2 linked regions of the Rhinolophus ferrumequinum genome follow. The protein of the gene in region 2 purifies or fractionates together with the protein of the main gene of each other region. This does not show direct contact. Links are inferred from orthologs where the notes say so. Each region holds a gene or a part of one and is shown on either strand. Other genes may lie near its edges.

Evidence for each region.
Region 1: the proteins of MTPN (region 2) and CAPZB purify together in Homo sapiens (co-immunoprecipitation; 3 studies listed by BioGRID and IntAct, with this or other methods). This does not show direct contact. The link is inferred for Rhinolophus ferrumequinum from reciprocal best matches to the Homo sapiens genes MTPN and CAPZB.

What each region holds. Positions count from the first base shown.
Region 1 is NC_046292.1:13,114,453-13,122,716, forward strand, and holds the start of CAPZB (F-actin-capping protein subunit beta), read right to left. Parts: upstream 3,055-8,264; 5' UTR 2,960-3,054; coding exon 2,957-2,959; intron 1-2,956. UniProt on the Homo sapiens protein: F-actin-capping proteins bind in a Ca(2+)-independent manner to the fast growing ends of actin filaments (barbed end) thereby blocking the exchange of subunits at these ends.
Region 2 is NC_046309.1:12,102,369-12,109,646, reverse strand, and holds the start of MTPN (myotrophin), read right to left. Parts: upstream 3,116-7,278; 5' UTR 2,840-3,115; coding exon 2,768-2,839; intron 1-2,767. UniProt on the Homo sapiens protein: Promotes dimerization of NF-kappa-B subunits and regulates NF-kappa-B transcription factor activity. Plays a role in the regulation of the growth of actin filaments.

The sequences.
Region 1 (8,264 bases), on a different chromosome or scaffold from region 2:
CAGACAGTTGTAAGATTATTACCTGCAAGGGGAATGCATATAAATTCCAGTTGTCTGTGTATTCTTAACTGATGCCAACAAAAATCATGGAATTTACTCCGAAGTCCAATGCATTTGAGATTCTCCATCCACTATTTCCCTCCATGGATCACTGAGATCCACCTGTTTTCTCTACCATCAAACCTACTGAAAACAAAAACCACAGTGCTCTTCATTCATTTACCTAATCTGCAGCCCGACCCACCGTTTCTGTCCTACCCCAACTGTCTCCACAGTTTATTACAGTATTCAAGTAGGGGATACATTTGACAATAGCCTGTCAGAAATTACTTCTCAGCCTAGGGGATACTAAGAACAAGTTAATGAGAGAATGAACATGAACTCCAAGTGGTTAAGTTCATGAATACAGACACACCCCAAAGGAGAGCCCTCCAAGCCATTTCCTTCAAGCCATGGAAAGAAAACACAAGACGAAAATCCCTGCCGTCAAAGAGCGCATGTTCTGGCCCAGGCACTCCCAAGCAACTATTTCACTAACGTCGTCTCCTATGCAAAGGACCCAGGACACAATCCAGTCAGTAAATGCTGCTCCTGGTGCTTTCTTTGATAGCTCAGCTGGTAGAGCGGAGGACTATAAATGCTGCTCCTCCCTTGCCATCTCTGCACAGTACCCCGTTATTATGTTTTCTAAGCAGTGTCCTTTACGTCTTCCCACACTTAGCAGCCTGGGGCATGGGAAGGAGAAGCTGTGAGCCTGCCAGGTATGCGTCCACTGACTGAGCGACGCCCTGAGTAAGAGTAAGTTAGTCCGCCCCAGCTTCTGCTTCTTTCCCCGTCCAATGGGGATACCTCAAAAGGCTGCGTGTGGATGAAAGGAGCTCACAGAGGCGAACCTCACGACGCAGTCACTGAGCAGCCCGTGAAGAAATAGTAGCCCTTGTCCCCCACCCCTTCCAGTCCTTTCAGATTGTCCAAAGAAGACCTGACACAGGACTCTTGAGAAGCCTGCTGTGTATCATCGTGCTCCTCCTGGGTCATTACAGGCACTTTCCCATCACATTTGGACAATCTGGCACCCAGGGCCAAGGCAAGACACCCCTCCCAGCCAGATACGTGCCTTGAGTCACCCCACTTGGCCACTCCATCCAGCCTCCCCTGCTTTTGCCCCCAGAGCAAACTGACAAAACTTCACTCCACTTTTAAAGTCCTCACCCAAACCTGTCCAGAAGTCTTGCCCCACCAAGGCCCAGGACTGGGCCACCGCCACCGCCACCGCCACCCTCACCCCCACCATGCAGCCAGTTCTCAGCCAACGAAGAGAACTCCAATAGCATGAAAAATGGCATTGGCCACCTTGTTCATTAACATACAGGAAGGCATCAAGAAAAAACGTGGGGAGTCTGAATTAGTCACCCAGTTCAGAAGCAACATCCCTTCGTCAAACAAGGAACCAAGATCCTCAAAACCCTTTCGGGCCCAAAGTCCACATGCAAACATCTGCTTATGCTGATGGGAGGAGCAGATGAACAGCCTGAATTGTCAGTCCATTCTCCAATGGGTCCTTGGCCATGTGACAGAGAAGTCCCCTGGCCCTTCCAACCTGGGTGCTGGGCCTGCCCTGCAGAAGGTTCGGGCAGGGGCAGACTCCTGTGTGTGGGGCTATGTGAAACCTCAAGCCAGGTAGAGTGCCCAGAGAGCACCTGCCTTCATGACCAAAACAAACACCAGGAGCCTGGCTCACCTGATCCGAGGCACCTCCATAATCAGCAGTTCCAACCCTCACGAGCTGACAGTTCAAGGGGAAAGGGAGGCTGCGCCTGCTGGGGTGCATCGTGTCCAGGCCATATGTTGGCCTAGGGGCCTACTGCCCGCCCCCCCATGGGCTGTGGCCTCTCCCGAGCGATTGTGCGCTCATCCCTGCCCTGTCTGCTCCCCCACCGCATCACTCCGCTCCCACTCAGAACTTAGCCGCTCGCTCCGCAAGCACCCACCGCAGCACCGAGGCTGCCGCCGCGGAAAGGCCCGGAGAGCGCCGCGCTGCCTTCCGGACACAAATGCCCGCCCTTCCCTCGCTCGCTCCCAGACGGCCTCCCCAGAAGGGGTAACCCTCAAACTTGAAAAGGCACAGCCCCGGGACTACCCCACCCTGGGCTGCAAAGCTTCCCACAGGTGGGAAAGAAGGTTCGCCCTGCTTCGGGGAAGGGGACCAGGTGGTGGCTCAGGGCAGGGAGCAGGGCCCTGGAGGGAAGGTAAAGGCCGGGACAGAAGGAGGTTGACGCAGCCTACTCTAAGAGTGGTGAGAAGTCTAGGGAAGGGGATCATGGCGGGTGGGGCGGGGTGACGTCCAGGCGGGGGCATGGGCGGAGGAGGGGAGGCCCAAACTTATGACCAGGGAGGGAAAAGAAGGTTCAAGCTGAAGCCATGGAAGAGACGAAACACATCTAGGCTGAGGCCACTTGGAGAAGTTGACGGGGGTCCGGACTGCTGCCATGGAGGAGGGGGACAGAGGCCTAGTCTGGGCCATGGCAGAGAGAAACGACAGCCTAGCCTGGGCCGTAGGAACGAGGAAAAGGGACCTAGCCCAGGCCAGGGGGAGGAGAAATGGGGGCCAAACCTGGGTCACCGGAGGGGGTGCCTGGCCCGGCCCACGGGTCCAGGAGGGACTAGCCTGGGCTATAGAGGAGACCAGCCTAGACCCGGAGGTGGAGAGTGGGACACCAGCTTGAGCCAAGGGCGGGGTCTGGGAGGGGGAAGCAGGGACGCAGCCCACCCGAGCCGCCCGAGCGGGCAGCTCCCTCCTGAGTGCGCAGGGATGGTGTCTACCTGGGTTCCCGGACCCCGCCCCTCCCCCACCCGGGGGAACCCACCCTTCACAAGCCGGGGGTCGGCGGGGGCAGGGGGACGTGAGCTCCGGCGGAGCCCCCGGGGCTGGGGGAGGGTGACGTCGGGCCTTTACCATGGTGGCGGCGTCGGCGGCGGTCCCGGTCCCGGCGTCTGTGGCTCTCCCCCCAGCAGCAGGGCCCGGCGCTTCCACTTCCCCGGGTGCCCAGGAGTGAACATCCGGGTCAGCGCCCCCCTCCCCCCGCGCCGGGCCGCCGCCACCTTCCTTCCCCGCCCCGGCCAGGCCCGGGCCCGCCCCCCACGCAGCCGGCTCTCCGCCAATGAGCGCGCAGGGCCGCGGCGATCGCCAAGTATGGAGCGCGGCGCTGGGGGGAGGAGCGCCGATCGGGGAAGTGAGGGGCGGGGCTTGCGGGCGGGACCCGGCCGGGCGGCCGGCAGAGTGGGCGGGCCGGGCCGGTGCTCTGAGCCCGGCGTGGCGTGCCCGTCGGTGTCGGGGCTGATCCCGGGAGTGGGCTTCTGCCCGCACCCAGACCCTGCCACCTGCTTTGGGGCTGCAGAAGCGGGTGGCGGCAGAGGAACCGTGCCCGCGGGCCTCCCGGGCGGGGATGCGGAAGGCACTGGGGCTGGGAGGGGTCAGTCCCTCCCCGCCCCACCCGGTGCACGCGCTCACTCCCGCGGCGGACCCGGAACTAGTGCGGCCCACGGGCCCAGCGCAGCCCGGGGAGAGCTTAGTGAGCGAACCTGAAATGGAATCTCTGCGCTGCCGCTAGCTACGTGCGGGACCTGGAGCAAGTCGCTGCACCTGAGACCGATCTCTAAAAAAAAAAAAAAAAGCCTCGAGCCACACACTCATTGAGCACCTACTAGATACCAGGCCTTGTTTGAGACACCAATAGAGAGCAGGGGTGAACAAGACATAAAGATGTCCTCATAGCTAGAGGATCGCTGTGAGGACGACACAGGTAGGGATTAGAAAACTGGGCTCAATGCATGGTAGGTGTTCTGAGTATTTTCAGATGTGCTACAGAGAACCAGCCCATTTGTCCAGTGGGGCTGCTTCACACCAGAGTGACTCAGGAAATATTTTTATTCCTCTTCATTCAACAAATATTTGAGGTTCATCCAGAAGGCAGGAGACCTGGGATGCTAGCCCTCCCTAACTTGCTCACTGTCGTTTGTGAGAATTAAATCAGGCCACCTGTGCCTGATTTAACTCAGGCACAGGGATTTAATTCAATACAGGGATTGTAACCTGTAAAGTGTTGCATAAATGACAGGCATTATTACCAGGAGCCAAGCCCTGTCCTTAGGGAGCTCACAGTCAAGTAAAACTTGCCACCGGCATAAGAAGTGATATAGGTAGGTTCCCCAAGAATGATTCATACCTGTATTGTGGGAATTCAGAGAAGGGAGTGTCTCTTAGGAATTGTTTTCACTTGGTAAGCATTTATTGAGCGAGCACCTACTATGTACCAACGACTGTTCTAAGCTCTAGGGATAGAGCAATGAACAAGATAGTCCACCTTGTTGCAGATCTTGAATGTTGAAGGGGAGACAATTAGCTACTACGTAAACAGTGTCAGATGGTTAGAGATGTGGAGGAAATCGGGAGTGAGGGCATAGGCAGGCAGGTTAACCAAAATGGGGCCAGAAGAGGCCTAACTTAGTAATATTAGATTAGAGGGAGGCACAGCCAGGGTAAACACCCAGTGGGGACAGCCCTTGCTGTATTCATGGAACAAGGACACCGAGGTGGCTGGCGCAGATTGAGCGAGGGGAGAGCAGTGGAAGCTGAGGTCAGAGAGGTGCAGAGCAGTGTGACAGGATCTGGCCTGGGCTTTAAAAGGATCAGGAGGCTGCTGTGTTCTGAGTGGACTGTAGGGGGACCAGGGCCGTTAGAAAGCTATTTCTGCATTGAAGGCATTTTTTATTTATTCAAAAAGCACTTACATGGGACTTCCTATGTGCTGCACACTGTTGACCACTTCACAAACAATAACTCATTTAATCTTCTTAACAGAGACCAGAAAAGGTAACCTAAGGTCACACAGCAGACAGATGAAGAAGGTGTTTCCGCCAGGGCAGTAGCATTGAGGTGGCAAGAAGAGATCGTATGCTGGGTTTTGGGTGATGGATTGGTGGTAGGCATGAGAAGAAGAAAGGAAGATGCTAAGATTTTTAGCTTGATCAACACCGGAATGATTTTCTATTTATTGATCTGCGGAAGATTGTAGGAGGAGCAGGGTTTTTTTCAGGGGCGGGGGCATAGGAGTCAGTTTGGGGCAAGTTAAGTTTGTGATTACCTATTGGAGATTTAAATGGAGATGTCAAGTAGTCAAGTATGGAAGCCTGGAGTTGGAGGAAGAAACTGGAGTTGGTGACAAACTGAGAACTGTCAGCTAATATTTTAAGGTACTTAAAAGCACAAGACATCTAAGTGAGCTCACTTAGGAGGTGAATGTAGAGAGGTCAAGAAGATGAAGCGGAACCAGCAAAACAATTGAGAAGGAATAGTCTGGGAGGCGAGAAGAGGACCAAGAGAAAGTGGTGATCCTCCTGGAAGCCAAGGGATAAATAAGATCACAAGGGAAAGTTTTGTGAAAGAAGGGACAATTTTATTTGAAGAAAATAATACTGAAAAGAAGCTTGTTCAAAATGCATCACCTGTATTTTCTCTAATTCTCAATAAAACACTACAAGGGCAGTGCTATTATTCTCATGATACAGATGAGGGAACTGAGGCACAGAGAGGTTAAGTAATTTGCCCAAGATCACATAGCTAATGATTTCAAAGCCAGGCAATCTGGGACCAGAGCCCAAACACGTAACCCCAGGTGTGATTATATTGCTTCTCTGCTCAAAAACCTTTGGAAGTTACCTCATAATAAGAGGACTTGGGAACCAACCCAGAACTAGGGACAGGCTACTCCAGCTCTCTCATGAGGCCCCATTTCTGCTGCTTTTGATGCATCTTCTACATTCTTCCTTTACTTTTTGGCATCCTCAGCTTGTTTATACCCCTATTCCCTTAACATTTCAGCCTGTGTGAGGTCCATCCTGATGACCTTTGTCCGTTTATTCTCTGCATCAGCTTGTGCTATTAAGCAGCAAATTCTTTTTGTGTTTCATAGTCCAGATCCCAAGACAGAATCCAATGAACTCATCTCTCCTTTTAATGGTGACAGGTCACTGGCCAGTGCACCACATTGGCAGCCTGTAGGCCAGACACTACCCCTTGACCAGTCAGGTATTGCTATGCACATGGGGGCATGTGGCATTAAACATGACTCCCTACAAGGGGCTGCGGGTAGGCAGGCAAACACCATAAATATTTTTAGTACTGTTTCTCCTCCCTTCCTCTTTCAAAAACCCAACCCCTTGAAGTTCATGCTATCATGACCTCCAACGTGCCGCCTGCACTTTATGACTTCAGCATCCATAAGCATAATCCATCCGAAATCTTACTAACTTCTCCTTTACTCATTTCTTCTCTACCAATGAGTTATCCCTTCCCCCGTCTGTAAGTACCCACTCCCATGGTCTTACTCTGGACTTGTTCTCACCAGTAATTGTACTATCTCAGAAAACACAATTGCAAAGATACCAAATCTGACTTGAGCCTCCTTCTGACAATATCACACCCAGCATTTCTTCAAAGTCACCACGACCTACAAACCTGTGACCCTGTCAGATTTGCATATTTATCTTCTCTCTTGTGCTCACTTCCCTCCTCACCAACTTAGTAATGATCATTCGCTTCCTCGAAAAACCCCATAGCCCCTTTGCCCCCCTTCTCTTCTTCTAACTTGCCCAACCTTAGATAAGCCCAGCTATTCCCCTACTCTCTGCTTACATCAGAATATCTGAACATTGCTGGGAAATTAAAAGTGACGCGTGTCACTTGAAATTGATGTCCACAAAGTTCAAAGGAGCCCTCGATCCTGCCTAGCAATCCTCCTATATTTCCCTGCTATATTCAATCCCCCACCCTGTACAGAGGTGATTTTCCACTCTTCCTCCTCTCTATCCCCTTCTCATCTTTCACTCTGAGCAGATGAACTTGCCTCATACTTCACACAGGAAATAGAATCAATCGGACACGAGACCCCTCATCCCCTGACAACCCTGCACCTTGCCCACGTCCTCTGCCTTCCCCACTCACAGTGACTGAAGAAGCATTTGTTCACCATCAGAGCCACCCCTTCACTGGCACTCTGCATCCCTCCCTCCTGAGTCACCAATTTCTCCCTCTGTACTGGACCATTCCCACCTGCTTGAAATGACATGTCCTAATATTTCAGGGTTTTTTTTAAGTTTTAACAACAAAACTCTCCCTCCAGCCACTTCCCCCATGTTTTTGCTCCTCTTCACATCCAAACTTTGTGAGTTCTCTGCAGTTGCTATTTCCACACCAACTCCAATTTCTCTTCAGATCAGTCTGGGGTGAACTTCTGCCTCTGCCTGTTGGCCTGGAAACTCCCATCTTGCAGAAGCCAGTGGGTCACTTCGGGGCCTCATCTTGCTGACTTCGCAGGGTTTGCTGCAGTTGGCTTCTCTCGCCCTTGAGGCTCCTCTCTCACTGCTCAGCTTTCCTCTGAGTTCCCTTTCATAGCGCCTCTTCCTTTTCTGAGTGCTCAGTTCTGGAACCCCTTCTTTTCTGTTATCTAACTGCTGTTTTGGTCACTAGGGATCTTCACCTGGAACATAATAGGTGCTCAATGAAGGTCTGTGAAATAAGATAATAGTAACAACATAATAGGATTATTGTGTGAATAAGTGGACCAAAAATGAATAATAAAGTGATGGCTACTTTTAATTGAGTGGTTACTATGTGCTAAGTTGTTGTATCATCTCATTGATTCCTCCAAACAATCCTTTGAGCTAGTAGCTTCTATTGTTACCATTTTATAGAAGAAGTTGAGGCTTAGATGAAATGACTTGCCTAAGGTCACACAGATAAGTGGATGACTGTCATGCAGGGTGTCATGCGGGATCTCTGGTCCCGCTCCCCACATAAGAATGCAGGATATGGTGAGGCCAAAAAGGAACACCCACGGAGCCATAGATAGGGGAGTCATACCACTATATTCTTGCTGGCAGCTGGGTTGGAGACACAGGAAGCAGGAGCCACACTATCCGCAACCTGCCGTCCACTTCTCTCTGCCAACCAACCTCACTTGCTAGCTGCAATCCGCTCTTGCTAGCTCAGCCACCATCTTCTTGCTAGCCCCCATTTTTGTGCTAGCGTAGCCACAGCAGTTATATTAATGGCCAAAGGCTCACTGGTTACAGCTGACGGCCAACTAGCCACAGCTGATGGCCATCCAATCACAGTTGATGGCCATTTACTACCCGAGTGAGCACCTTTCCACGTGAGGCCAAGAGCCTGGAAATTGCACTCCTGGCTCTGTCCCCATAATGAC
Region 2 (7,278 bases):
GACCTGAAAGGTGCCCAATTAACAATGGATGAATTAACTAAGTATGGTCTGTAGGGTGGTCAAGAAGCCAAACCGTTTCCAATATTGTTTTAATGTTAAAGATAAACATTTATTACTAATTTAAAATTTCTTTATACGCTGCTTTTCCCATTGAGAACCACACAATTTTCAACGATTTGGGAACTCCGAACTGATTTTTTGGAGTTCAAGAACTTACCCAAAACTGACAGTTTCTGCCTAGCCATACTTCAGATTTCCGTATAGAAGTCAGAAGCAGGTAGAAAAACACAATCATTGATTTTTTTAAAATACGAATTTAGAAAGGGAGAATACTACAGTGCTTCACCTACAGGTCCACTCTTATATGTGAAGAACGGGAGAGATCTTCGCAGGAGTACAGATGAGAACATTTTAAAGACTCTCACGTCTTAGAAGGAACACTAGACAAGTCCACGTGTTTCTTCATGGACTTTCTTCGTACACACTTAGATAAATGCACATTACACAAACTCGGAAAACAGGAATGAGTGTTCATAAATCGGTGGACGAAAAAGATGAGTCAATGAATAAGCAGGGGCTGCTAAGCAGAAGACACTGTCCTAAGGACTCGAGAGTGTCAATAAGGGAGCTCAGTAAGCAAAAGCTGGAGTGCTAGTTTTGGGTTACTTTTTGTAATTTTTCATTAACAAAGCAAAAGATATTTTAAGAGACTCGAATTACTCATAAAAACTAAGAAAGGGAAAAGCTCAATGATCTGTTCGTAGGATTAGTTTATAGTCAAACCTTTTTGGATAAACCAGTTAATACTTCCCTTTTACTTTTCTTTGAATGTCTATCCTCCCTTTCATATATATCTTTTTTTATTAATGAGAGTTGGTAGTTGCAGGAAAAACACGAAATCAAACTGAACATAATGACCTAATTTACAAACCACCTGAAAACAAATTAATCCGTCATTATGGGTACATATTTTTACATACATTTTTTTGTGACTGAGAACTCTTCATATATAATTTATCTACCTGGATGTTGACCACGGGAATGTCCTACTAGAAATCTTGGTATCATGCTTTTGCGATTACATTTTAGATCGTGAGAGACAGCATGGAGCAGACAGAGTCTAAGTTTTGGAGTCAGCAGTTCAGTTCTAGCTTCACCACTTGTTATCTCTGTAACTTTGGATTTTTTTTCTTAAGTACCCTCATCTCAGTAATCTTACCCGTAAAATGGGACTCATAAAAGGACTTACTTCACAAGCCTCACAAGGATGATATAAAATAATGCCATCAGGAAGACACTACATAAATTGTGTTATTTTTGTAACTGTAAGCTCAGTCAGTACTGATCAACTTTTCGTATTCCAAGGTTCCACAGTAACAGAAAAACAAAAGCCCACTCATTTCCAGAGTACTACAATGTCCACCACTAGAAAGTGTACCATGGACTGAAGTGATCCAAGTAATTTCTTTCCTTTAATCTTACACTGAAACATCCAGTAAGTCAGGTTTCAGACCGCCACTAGCTGACAAAGCAGTGAACAGTGTCCTAAAAATCCACTGCAAGTAACCCCTAAGCAGGTAATTTGCACGCAATAAGTCTAATTGTAACGGTATTAAACAGAGTAAAAACTATCAATAGTTTGCCTTGCACAATCCTACAAGTTTTAAGAAACTCTGCTTCTGCTTGTTTCCTAACATAGATCTGTGAAGCAAAAACACAGCACCATACTAGTGTTCACAGCCTCTGAAGACCTGAAATCTAGACAGGGTTTTCGCACTTTTTAGGTGAGCAAGATGCTCTCCAGGGTTATGTCATAAAGTTATACGTTTGTCTTGGAAGAGTTCTCTTTCGATTATCGTATCAGAATCACATGCAGTTCTCTCATCATTACAAAAAGCACAGTTTCAGGGTCCAAAGGCAGGCCAGCTCGGAATTTTACCAATCCACTATAATGTGGATTCAGTTTTACACTTTGAGTTCAGTTTTGTGATTAGCTGTCCTCATCATGATTTTACCCTCAAATATACTGTAACTAAACTGCATTACTGTTCACTACTCGTGTAAGCATTTCAGATGGAATCAAGGAGAAAGATGGAGTACCTCAAGTTAACATGCTTGTTTGAAAACTACTCAGATATCTTAAACACTCCCAGATGCCAACTGACACTTGAAGCAAATCTGTATTTGTTGCAGTGGAGGAGAGGAAAAAGGCCACACCCAAAGTTAAGGCTCCCGCAGTGAAGTGATACCAAGTGTCATCGTTTTAACTGTTGCTATTTGGGGTACTTTTTCACGGTGACTGAATACGTTACATTCATTAACCGGCCCACCGTTAATAAAAAAGTTCCTCCGATTCTAATCGCTTAGGCCACTTCACTTAGTAACGGGCAGGTTCAAGATGGAGAATTACCTCATTCAAAGAAAGATCTAACTAACTGGCGTAGACGAGGGCCAAACTCACATGATCAGTGTTCAGAAGTGACTCCAAAGGAGCCGGTTCCCTCTCCTCCCCTCCCCCAAGTGGTCAGGAAAGCAAGAAGAGCCCGGCTGTGTCAACACAGCAGTTACCTGACCCAGAACGCGCCCGCGTGATCGGGACCCCCCTTCAGTGCAGAGGCTCCCCGACTCCCCTCTCGCCTCGGGGCCACCTCCATCCAGGATGTCTCTCCCCTCCCCACCCCCACCCCCGTTCAGCCCCGCTGCCTTCAGCTTCCTCAGCCTCATCTCCATCCCGCCTCCGTACTGTCGCCCACTCGTCGCCGCTTACCTTAGCCACGTAGTCTTTCACCTCATCCAAGTCCCCGTTTTTCAGGGCCCACATGAACTCCTTGTCGCACATTACTGCAGCGGGGCGGGCCAGTTGGCGGGGCAGAAGACGAGGAGGCGGTGGCGGCAGCAAGCGGATACCGCCGGGCGAGAGGGAGACAGGACCGCGCCGAGCCTGAGGGGAGAAGAAGAGAAGGCGGGTGAGGCTGCCAGGCGGGTGAGGCAGTTGGCCGCAGCAACCGTTAGGGCGGGAGAAAGTTCTTTGCGGCCACCGGGCCCAGCCGAACAGGTTCCGCCTGGCCGAGAAGCAGTAGGAGCGTTTACACTTCCGGTTCACTCCCAGCTAGGACCCGCCCCCAACTTCCTCTTCCTCTTCCCCTCCCTGTTCTCAGGAACCCGCCCCGAGGGCCCGGGGGGAAGCAACCCGTGTGCGCAGGCGCAGTGGCAAGGCCCGCGGCCACTGGGTGGAGGCGGAGGAATGGGGCGGGGCTGGGGGGCCGTGGAGGGGATCAGAGGACTGGAAGGGCAGAAAGCGAGCGACGCTGGACAGTTAGTATTTCAGACGGTGTCAGGATGTTGCTGCACACAGGACGGGGCAAAAACTTAACAACAAAAAGAAAAAAACCTCGGAGGGCATCTTGCTCGCCTAAAATTGGCCAGTAGGACTCTTTGATTTGAATTCCTTCCCTCCTGTCTTTTTTCCTTCCCTATCTCCCTGTCTCTTTTCCTCACTTCCTCTTCTATCAAGCATCACTTGGGCTCTTACAAATCATCAATGGTATAGCAAAAAAATAAAAAAAGGATACTTGTGCTCAAGAAACTCTATAATACTTATGACAGCAATGTGAATTTTCTGTGCCAATACTATGTTCTGCGGAAGGAAAACTTCACCGAGGTGGGGAAAATTTTTTACTCATTTCCTTGACAGCAAATGATGTCCAGGACCAAGACATCACTGTGATGCTATGGTGCAGACAAACCTCACTGTCCCCTACAACTGCATTTTAAAAATTCTGTGGTCATGTGTTTTTAAGGGTTTGAAGCTTCAGGACCTTTCTAGTGAAGCCAGTCTACGCTTCCTAGGATTTGGCTGTAATACCTCGAGGCACAGTCACCAGAAGAATTGTGCCTCAACCCTAATGATACGGACGTGCACACATGAGCATGGAGAGATCCAACAAAAACACTTACTGAACTATTATGTATTTAAAGTCACTATGTTCCATTAAACAAATAAAACCAAACTACTTAACTATGCTTGTTGCCATATAACATAAGGGTTCAGAACACAGACTCCGGAACCAGATTGCTGAGTTTTCAATACAGGACCCAACCCTTAACTAATTTTGTGTCACCTTAGGCAAGTTACCTAACTTCTCTCTTCAGTTTTCCACATGTGTAAAATGGCAGACAATAGTGTTCAATAAATGTAATTGGGGGCGAGGGGTGGGAGGCTATCATTTAGAGACAGCAAATAGAGAGAGGTTTCAAACCAAAAGACAAAAAAAAAAATCTCCAAATATTTAACAGCAGCATTGATTGTAATTCTGTTCATTGTACTTTGTGACCATTAGAAATACAATTAATTATATACCTAGTGATGCTACCCTTCTGGAAACAAATTTCAAGGAGGAATTTGTTAGGCAAATCCTGGAGTCCCCATCTCTTTAATTCTTACCTGTGTGATCTTTGATGTAGATCACTCTGGCAGCTCTTGATTTATAGCTTTAGTCCAGACTTCTGTGTGACTCATTCTTATATTTAACTTCTTACTCATTTGAATGTCTCAAAGTTAACATGACCAAAATAGGATTTAATCTCCTCTAGATTTTTAAACCTAATTGTCCCTTAGAATTCCCCATCTGTGTGAATGACACCACCAATCACCCTGTCACTAAAACCAAACACATTGCGGCAAAGATTCTCTCCTTGGCCAAACTCTAGCCAGGTTCCTTTGAGTCCTCGCTTGACTAGGCCTCAACCTTGATCTATAAAAACTAACATAGTTTCTAACAGCTCAAGACCACATCCCTAAGATTGCCCTGGTCCTCCTTAAATTTCCTGCTTGATAAAATTCAAAGCTACCAAAAAATATATATATGTATACATATATATATTTTTCCCATTTGTCCCAGCCAACCCTTGAGGATAGGGTGTCTACCTCCCAGTCTCTGTAGGAGGGTAGAATCCTAACTTCGATAATTGCCAGCTAGCAGACATAGCTGGCCTAATCACATTTATACTGACTAATCTTTTTTAATTTTTCACTTCCATGACTCTACTGATACCCTACTCATGCTATTTTCTCATTCTCTCTTTAAAACACCTACTCATCCCTGTCCAAGTAAAGCTGAGTTCAGTTCACAGTAGACTCTTTTCCCTATTGCCGTAGTTGTTGCTGGTAAAAATCTGTCCTTGCTGCTTCAACTAGTGTCTTGCTTTGTCTTTGACAAAGGAAATCATAAATAACTCCTGTCTTTCCCTCATATTCTGTCCATCAGTAAGTACTTCAAAACATATCTTACATCGTTCACTTCTTGCCATCTTCACTACTGATTTACCCCTCCCTGCCACACCCGTTTCCAGCCCTATCATCTCTGCACTGCTACAGAGCCTCCTAGATGGTCTCCCCATTTTCACTCTTCCTCTTTTCCAAGTGATTCCCCACATAGCCAGAGTTATCTTTTTAAAACATAAATCAAGCATGCACTTCTTGTCCTAAGACCTTTCGGTGGCTTCCTATTGCATTTAGGATAAAATCCTGATTATTTGTTATGGACTTTGGGATACTCCATGATCTGACCCTGACCGTCTCTCCTATCTCGGGACATGCCCCTCCCACTTCCATGGCTTTTTGGTTCCCATAGATCTCATCTTCTGCCAGTTTCAGGAAAAACCAAGCTCATTCCACCCTAGGGCCATTATGCTTGCTGTTTCATGTCTGGAATGTTCTTTTAATTCTTGCTCACTCCTTCTGATCTTTGAGGTCTCAATGCAAATGTCACCTCCTCACAGAGGCCGCCCAGATCACCCACTCAATTAGTTCTGTCATATAGCCCAGTTTTATTTCCCCCTTCACTTCGATAATCACAAATATTTTCATTACTTTTTTTTTGAAACCTTTTTTTTTATGGTGTTCAACAAATATTTCCTTTTGTCTGCCATTTTGGGCACAAGACAGAACTGCTCTTCTTGGCTTCCTATGGTTGAGTAATATCATGTAACTAATTTTGACCTATTAGTTATGAGAAGAAGTAATATGAATCACTTCCACGCTTGCCAATGCAAGACGCTTCAGAGCTCTTTAATCCCTCTGCTATAGCAACCAGCAACTTTCAAGACAGCAGCAGTGGCTACAGTCAATCTGGGTTCCTGAGGGACTAGAATGAGTAGAGCTCCCTTATTATCCCATAATGGATATGTAGTAAAATAATAATTAAACTTGGTTCAAGACACTGAGATGTTGGTGTTTATTACTGTAGCAACATTGAGTGAATCTTGACTAATACAGAAATTTTTGTCAGAAGGGAGCATTTGTTAGAACAAAAACCTTAATTGTGCTAAGAGAATTCTCTCCTTCATTAATTCAAGAACTATTTATTGAGCACCTACTATGAGCCAGTATAGTGATAAATATCTGGCATATAATGTAAAGCAAGATATACAAGATGCTGATCCTCATTAAGCCTAATTTCTAATGCAAGAGGCAGACAATAAATAGGTGTTTTATTCAGAATAGGTTAGATTAGTCTGCAATAACATATAACCCCGCAAACCACAGTGGCTGAAGACAAAAGGTTTATTTCTTATTGATGCTTTCTGTCTAACATGGATGGCAGGGGAATTTGCTTCTCATAGTTACTCAGAAACCCAGGCTGAGATTTGCCACCCTATTGGAGAAACGTACATTGGAGGAACTCACAATGGCAATTAAAAGTAAATGTTCTCGCCTAGAAGTAATTTATAATCACTATGTTCACAACCCAGTTGCTAAAACTAGTCACGTGGCCCCACCCAACCACTAGGGGGCGAGAGAGCTCCAAAGGGTGAAGCTTGAGCTGGCGAGACTAGTGACAACCCCCATCAGTCCTTCTGATCGTTAGATACTAGGTTTACCTTTCTTCCCACAAAATATACACATACCCTCTTCCAGGGAAATAACCCCAAAAGTTCTATTCTATCATAGTTCAAGTTCAAAGTCTATAATCTCACAATAGTTGGGCCGGGATATATCTTCCCTTGATATGGAGACACAGGAACTAAACAAACAAAATATCTGTGCCCCTCCCCCCTCCATACCTAATATACAATGATAGAGTAGGAACAGGATAATCACCACAAACACTTCTCAAAATGGAAAAGACTGGGATACAGATAGCAATCAATAGTCTGTGGCAATTCTGGAATCCTGCCAGGCACACATTGCAAGGGTCTCTACCCTAGAGTAGAAATATTCCCTGATTAGGCTCCAATTCTGATCCATGGTAGGTGCCCCCTTCACTGCATTGTATT